Linked DNA regions of Rattus norvegicus. The protein of the gene in region 1 interacts with the protein of each later gene in a pairwise test. Links are inferred from orthologs where the notes say so. Each region holds a gene or a part of one and is shown on either strand. Other genes may lie near its edges.

Evidence for each region. The genes of interacting proteins can lie anywhere in the genome.
Region 2: the proteins of Lmtk2 (region 1) and Myo6 interact in a two-hybrid assay, tested with the Homo sapiens proteins (2 studies listed by BioGRID). The link is inferred for Rattus norvegicus from reciprocal best matches to the Homo sapiens genes LMTK2 and MYO6.

The regions. Positions count from the first base shown.
Region 1 is NC_086030.1:15,619,577-15,623,606, reverse strand, and holds the start of Lmtk2 (serine/threonine-protein kinase LMTK2 precursor), read left to right. Parts: upstream 1-1,214; 5' UTR 1,215-1,512; coding exon 1,513-1,618; intron 1,619-4,030. UniProt on the Homo sapiens protein: Phosphorylates PPP1C, phosphorylase b and CFTR.
Region 2 is NC_086026.1:90,089,395-90,092,910, forward strand, and holds part of Myo6 (myosin VI), read left to right. Parts: coding exon 1-71; intron 72-150; coding exon 151-228; intron 229-1,919; coding exon 1,920-2,049; intron 2,050-3,516. UniProt on the Homo sapiens protein: Myosins are actin-based motor molecules with ATPase activity. Unconventional myosins serve in intracellular movements. Myosin 6 is a reverse-direction motor protein that moves towards the minus-end of actin filaments.

The DNA of each region.
Region 1 (4,030 bases):
TTTTCATTCACGGATTGGACTACCAGAGTCAGCAAAGGTAGCTTCGGAGCTGTGTTAACTGTCAAGCACTTTCTCTTGTTTCTTTTGTGTGTGCATGGATGCGTGTGTTGTGTTTGCGGCATGTGATTTGTACATGTGTGTGCATTTTCTCCACCCCCACTCCTGGGTGTGTGTTTGTAGGCCAGAAAAGCCAGAAGAATTTTTTCCTCAGGGTCAGGGTCCACTTTTTTTTTTTTTTTTTTTTTTTGGAGGCAGGGTCTCTTATTTGCCTGAAACTTGCCTAGCAAGTTTGTCTAGCTTGTCAGCAAACCCTAAGGACCCATCTTTTTCTGTCCCCTCAGCAAGCGTTTTTTTCTTTATGTGGGGTTCTGGGGATCGAATCCAGGTCCTCATGCTTACAAGGCAAGCAATCTCCTCAGCCTTCTCCATTGTGTTTGAAACATCTTCTACCCCACCTGGAAGCCTCTCCCTCCTCACACTCACCACCAACACCCAGCCCAGGTCCTATAGAGGACACCTATTTCACGATAAGCCCAGCAGGAGATCCAAGGTGACTCAGACAGGGTTGCTGTCCTCAACTGGTTTACAGTCACAGGAGCAATAAAACATGGGCTGGGGTGGAGTCGTAGATGCTTATTTATTTGTGGGATTGGGTAGAAGCCATCGATGAAGTCATATTCCAGGTGTGTCTTGATGAACGAAAAGAAGAGCGTCTGCCAGGTGAACAAGAGGGGGCAGGAAGGGCTGTCTTGGCAGAAGGGCCAGTTTGAGCTCACTGCTACGTCAGCGAGTGAAGTCATTAACACTCTGTGCTTGATCAATTGAAAATTTAAAAAGTTCAAAGTTCCTCAGAAGCTGATCTGAGGGTAAACCTAAGGTGAAGAGGCTAAGGAAGTTCTGAGAAGTAAAAATGAAGAAGGTAAAACCAGGGATAAAATATCGAGAACCATGTTGGTAAAAATAAGAAAAGAAAAATAAAAAGAAGGAAAAATAAAGTCCCAGATTGAATTATGTGGGTTATCATGGTCTTCTTTATATCTTCCTAAAATAATTCTCGGTGTTACCTGCTGCCCACGCCTCATTCCTCCGTCTGCAGGGGGCGCACCGAAATCCATCTTGCCTCCTATGGCTGAGGGGGTGGGGCTTCAGGAGTCAATATGGATTGACGATTGGCTGATCCAGGTGTCGGTCACGGCATCCCGCCTCCGCTCTACGTCACATGACGCAGCCCATCATGGCGGCGGGAGCGCGGCTGCCTGGGCCCGCGGCTCCGCAGGCTGGGTGCCGTTGCTGCTGTTGAGGGGCGGCGGCGGCGCAGACGGGCGGGAAGGATGATGCTGGCTCTGTGGCCAGAGCGGCGGATGCAGACCGGGAACAGGGTTGACGTTTGGCTAACGAGACGTGTGTCCCGAAGCAGCCGGCGCCGGTGTCGCTGAGGCGGCGCGGAGGGCTGACTGACTGAAGGCGGCAACCCGAGAGCCGGCCCCGGCAGGGGACCGCGCGGTGGACGAAATGCCGGGACCACCGGCATCATCGCCGCTGCCGATGCCGCTGCTGCTGCTTCTGCTCTTGACCGTCGGCAGTGCCCGGGCCGCGCCACTTCCGCAAACAGGTGCAGGTGAGCGGAGCCCGGGTGCTGCGGGGCCGCTGCGTCTTGCGGGGCGGCGGCGAGGTCGGCGGGCCTGCGGGGTTGGGCCACCTCTGCGACGGATCGGAGGCCTGCGGAGGGCAGGAGGCCGCGGGGTGCGAGCGATCCTAGGGAGATTTCTTGCCGCAGGGGCGTGGGATGGGGGGGCGGGGGCGCGGCGACGCGGTGGGGGTTGGGGAAGACGGCGGGGCGAGGTGGCAGAGACGGGTTTCCCTACATCCCTGGGGGACTCTTCCCGGACTCTAAACTTGTTGCCTAAAGGTCCCTCCAGCTTCTGTCCTCTCGACACTTCTTCCTTTTTTCCAGATGTCACCTGCCTCTTGTGGCTTTTCTCGCGTCCTATAATAAGAACCGTTTCTTATCTCTCGTCATTCCTTAAATGAAACACAATGACTCCTGGAAGCTGTGCAGTTTCCTTGGCTCACCGAAACTTGTTCTAAATTTGTAAATTGATTTTAGATGCTGAGGTTGTTGGGTTATTTGTCTATTTGTCTGTTCATTTATTTTTCGAAATGAGTCTCTGGGGATGAGAAAGGAGCAAAGGATGCGTATCTTTGTTTTGGGAAGCTAGTGACTGGTGTAGCAACTTTTGAGTAACCATTGACAGATTGGCCTGAGGGTAATTGAATTGCCTATTTAAGTGATATTAGTGAGTGATTCTCTTTTCAAGCCCTCAGCCCTTCTATATTTTCTGCATGTAGTTGTGATCTGGAGTTTATAAATAAAACTTCAGCCAAAGAAACCATCCCAGAAATTTTAAGGATTAAAAATTCAGTGGTGGGGGAGGTATTGACATTTCAAAGAACTTTAGAGGTTGGAAGAAACCGTATAGATGATTTAGTCCAATTTCTTCATCTTTTGCATTGAGGATGCTGGAACCCTGGTGATCAAAAGATATACTCAAGGTGACACAGCCAAGTTGTAGTTAGATGCAAACCCAGGTCTTGGATTCACCTTGTCTTGTGATTGCACCCCTACCTCCCAGTTCACTTCAGCTCTCAACTGTCTGTGGAATGCCCCTGAGGCCAAGGTTTAAGTGTAGAACTGTCTCCAGTCAATATGGGTGTTTCAAACAAATCTACAATGATAGAGGGTGATGGCTTCCAGAACTACACATATACATATACAGGGTATATGCCATTGAGTACCATTCAGTTGAGCATTAGGTGGTGTGGTTACACTATCTAATGTAGCACCGTCTTTGTGCTATCCCCTTGGAATCAAGTCTTTTTTGGTGACTTCAGTGTTCTGAGTCAATGGATAAGATAACTGGATGTCGGCAGAAGTCGATAGTCAGCCCAGATAGCCTGGCAGAAAATACCAGGGAAGCTGGGAAAGATTATACAGAAAGGAGGTGATGTTGCTATGTAAGGGTATTGACATTTAAATGGAAAATTAACTCCAGAGTAGCAGTGGGTAGAGTGCGTGTGACCTGGGGACTCCAGAAACTTCCAGAAGTTCTTGTGCCTATCAGTTTTTATGCATTCTGAGCAACCTGAAAAACATAAACCCACGAGTTCTTGACATAAGGTTTTGACACACGGGAAGGCCAGGTGATTTGTATCCACTTTTGCACATTTTTCTTTCCTGTTTTGGTCCTTAGAGGGAGCTGTATAGACTGTATAAATGATGTATTATTAAATGTCAAACATAGATGTGTGGAATTGTTTCATTGTCCAAACAGCTTATGGATATTACAACTGGGAGAGATTTCTCCCCCCTCCCTCTCCCACTCCCTTTCTCTCCTCTCTCTTCCCCTCTGCCTTTCCTGTACTATGGATCGAACACAGGGTCTCACACATGCCCAGCGTTCAACCATGGAGATAGATTTTTTTTTTTTTGGATCAAGGGTAAAGAAACTTTCTTGTTAATGGTATTTATTGAGCCCACTGGATATATATGTTAGATAAAAGAGCAGCTGTGCAGTGAAAACATAGCTGGGGTGTCTGATGATCTAGAGACCTGTACAAAGCAAGACTAGCCTTCCCAAATAAGGGTAGGCCCCCTTTGTGGGCTGGTTTTGTGTCAACTCAACAGAGTCGCCAAAGAGGAAGGAGCCTCAGTGGAGGAAATGCTTCCATGAGATCCAGCTCTAAGGCATTTTCTTAATTAGTGATCAGTTGGTGCCATTCCTGAGCTGTATAAGAAAGCTGAGCAAGCCAGGGGAAGCAGGCCAGTAAGCAGCACCCTCCATGGCCTCTGCATCAGCCCTTGTCCTGGGGATCCTGCTCTGTGTGAGTTCCTGCCCTGACTTTCTTCAGTGATGAACAGAGCACTGTGGAAGTGTAAGTCGAAGAAACCCTTTCCTCCCCAACTTGCTTTTTGGCCATGGTGTTTTGTTTCAGCAATAGTACCTAAGACAGCCTCCTTGTTCTTATTCTT
Region 2 (3,516 bases), on another chromosome or scaffold:
AACTCTATAACATGTACAAGAAGTACATGCCAGAAAAACTCGCACGATTGGATCCACGGCTATTTTGTAAGGTATAAATGCCACTTCAATAGAAATTTCTCACCAACAAATCTTTTCTGTTAAACTCAACTTTTAAAACTTGTTTTTCAGGCTCTTTTTAAAGCTTTGGGATTAAATGAAGTTGACTACAAGTTTGGGCTGACAAAAGTATTTTTCAGACCTGGCAAGGTAAATATATATGACAGTTGGGCTTCATATGTATTTCCTTAGTTATTGGCGATTTATATCACTACAGCATTATATGAAACAGCATGAGATTATGTTTCTGTTCACACAGGTTTCCTGTTCGGGGTTGTTTCGTATGAGTTTAAATTATAGTTTTACTCAGTATTGGAATCAGAGGATTGTTAATTTTTTTCTTAAATAAGGACTAACCAAAACTTTCTAACATTTTAAATAAGTTGAAACTATTTCTATAATATTTTAATAATGTGCCAGTTAGATAGCTCAGCATGTAACCCAAGCTGTCACAGAATTCTCCATCTGAGTTGGCCCAGACTCCTCAATGCTGTAAGCATGTGCCAGCTCGCTTGGTGAGTTTCATAGCATGTTGGAGTTTTCCTTGTGAGAAAGTTTCACTGGAGTATGATAGATACATAAAGCATATGAAACTCGATTGGATTTGTACTGACTATTGACAAGTTTCACAGTAAGGGAATGTGTAAACACTGCATGCGTTAGGTTGCTTTTAAGCTGACATAGTACTGCAGTTGTGATACTCACTGACTGCAGAGCATGTCAGAGCTAACTGTATTCAGTACACAAACACCTAGGGCTGTCCACAAATGTTAAGAATACCACGTCCATATTCCTAACACTTGAGACACTGACTTACTGATTACATAGTTACAATTGTAAAGATAGTTGTTATTGCAGCTCACTAGTTCCACTGGTCAACTCTCTCTAGTGTCTCAAGAACAAAATAGTTACAATAAATCTAATTTCACATTTTTTAGCACAGGATGAAAATATGCAATTTTATTGCTAGTCTGTGGTGTCTTTGTCACAGAACTTGTACCATTTCCTGTGAAAAATGAAGAGAAAAAAATATAGGTGTTCATGGCTGGCTTCACATTACTTTGTGTTATTTATCATAAATTCAACATCTCTCTTGTGTCAGAGCTATAGTAACTAATTAATGGATAGAGAAAGAACCTGGATTATTTTCCTCCAGAAAGATGCAGAAGGTTGTTGAAAGCTTAAAGCAAGCAGATTCAGAGATTCATAGTCTTGTTATGCTACTCTTACGGTTTTTATGATTAAACACTTGTTTTGTTAATTGGCATATGACACCTTTAACACTGCAGTGTGATATTTGGTGAAGAATGGAAATAATTCTGGAATTTTGTGGTAAATAGAAAAAGTATTGTATTTGCGTGGTCTGTCTCCTAGCAGTAATTTCCTATTTTTTTTGTCTAAAATTAGAGTTGGGAGAGACAGGACTTTTGGTGGCTCCCCTGCTTTCAATGACCTTTACTTGTTGAGCAATGTGGATGTCTGAGAATGTGGTTGAACTGGTTCAGACGTGTTGGCCCCATTTAACATTTTCCCTCAAATATTTCTGCCAAATTTTCCATAATCAGTCATTTAAGAGTTTTTCTTATACCTATTTTTGCTGCTACTTAGGGATAAATAAGTATTCCTTCCTACCTTCCAATAAATCGATGAAGGAAAGGCAGAAGGAAAGGGCCATGACAAGTGGCCAAATGTGTTCTGTATACCCTGCTAAGATATCCTTGGAGTTGAATTTTAATCATTTTCAGGAAGTTATATTTGGAATTTGAAATCCATGTAGTTATTTCCTCTCTACTTGAGCACATTTACCCTTTAATGCTGATGCTAAGTTATCTTACTCTTAGTTTGCAGAATTTGATCAGATTATGAAGTCTGATCCTGATCACTTAGCAGAGTTGGTGAAGAGAGTCAATTTGTGGCTAGTCTGTAGTCGCTGGAAGAAAGTTCAGTGGTGTTCACTGTCAGTCATCAAACGTAAGTATTTCCCTCTGGCATAGTAGCTCATTCTTTAATCCTAGTGCTGGGGTAGAAGAATCAAGAGTTCAATGTCTTGGGGTTGTAGAGATGGCTTCAGTGGTGAACAGCATGGGTTATTTTTTCAGAGGACCTGGGTTTGATTCCCAGCACCCACACAGCAACTCACACCTGTGTGTAACTCAGGTCTAGGGAATTAAGTTCTCTCTTCTGGCTTCTGCAGGCATTGCATGTATCAGGTGCTCAGGCAGGCAAAATACATACATACATACATACATACATACATACATACATACATACATACATGCACATTAAAGAAAAATAAAGAAGAAAAAGTTCAAGGCCTTCCTTGAATCAAGACTGTCTCAGTAACAACACCAACAACAACAACACCACCACCACCAACAACAACAACAACACCTTCTCACCAAACTATGCTTTATTTCACACCAAGATTTGTTATTTTGGAAGTGAGATGGTTTGAGGGATGTCATGGGACTGTCTGGGTGCTAATGGGTACCTTTGGTTCCTGCTGTGTCTGATGGAATGGTCCCTCAATACCTAACCCAACATGTATAGACTCATTTTATTTTCTGAAGATCTCATGACATTCACTATCTGAGATATGTTCTAGGGTTATGAATTCCACCATGTCCTAAGAAAACAGAATTTATTCTCTTCCTCCAACTCTCGTTCTCTCCTTGACGCCCCGCACCTCACCATTTTCTCAGATTCTAACTGAAACAATTCTCTCTGCCAAAATGGTATCTACCTTAGATGATCTGTTCTGTCTCTGTGTCTCTTCCTGTCTCTGACTCCTCTCACCCCCAATCTATTTAATTTGAAGTGCTGTGTATTGAACTCTGGGTCTTCCACATGCTAAGCAAGCTGCACCCGGTTGGATTTTTGTCTCTCTTTTCAAGTCTCAATAGTTATGGGATGATGTGGATTTCACCTTCTGAGAGTATAAACCTTTATTCTCATTGGCAGTACCTTAGTGGGGCCTCTTTTGTCACTTACATTATAACTGTATTAGTTTCCAAAGTCATTTGCCAGCTTCCCGCCCTGCTTATATTTTCTAAAGCAAAGGCTTTTCTAGTTTTCCTTCAATGGCTGGCAGAGTTTGAACTCTCAGACTGTCTTTCTAGACCGTGGTGGGGCTTCAGCTTGTCTTTGCAGCCTCTCCTGCTCCCCGCCTCATGGACTCTGGGCTCCAGTACACTGGAGTGAGCTGAGTTTGAATGTATTTCTGCCACATTGTAGCAGCTGATTATATCTGGTCTAGAACATGAGTGAGTGCAAAATATTTTGGATAACTTGAAGGTCTGTGGTGAAAGCTTAATGGTTGGGAGCTGTGTGGAAATCAGCTCATTCAGACCACCTGAAATAGCTTTGTGCATGAGGGAGGATTCAGAAGGTAAATCTTTACTAACAGAAGAGTAAACCGGGTCTGGCACAAAGGAACTA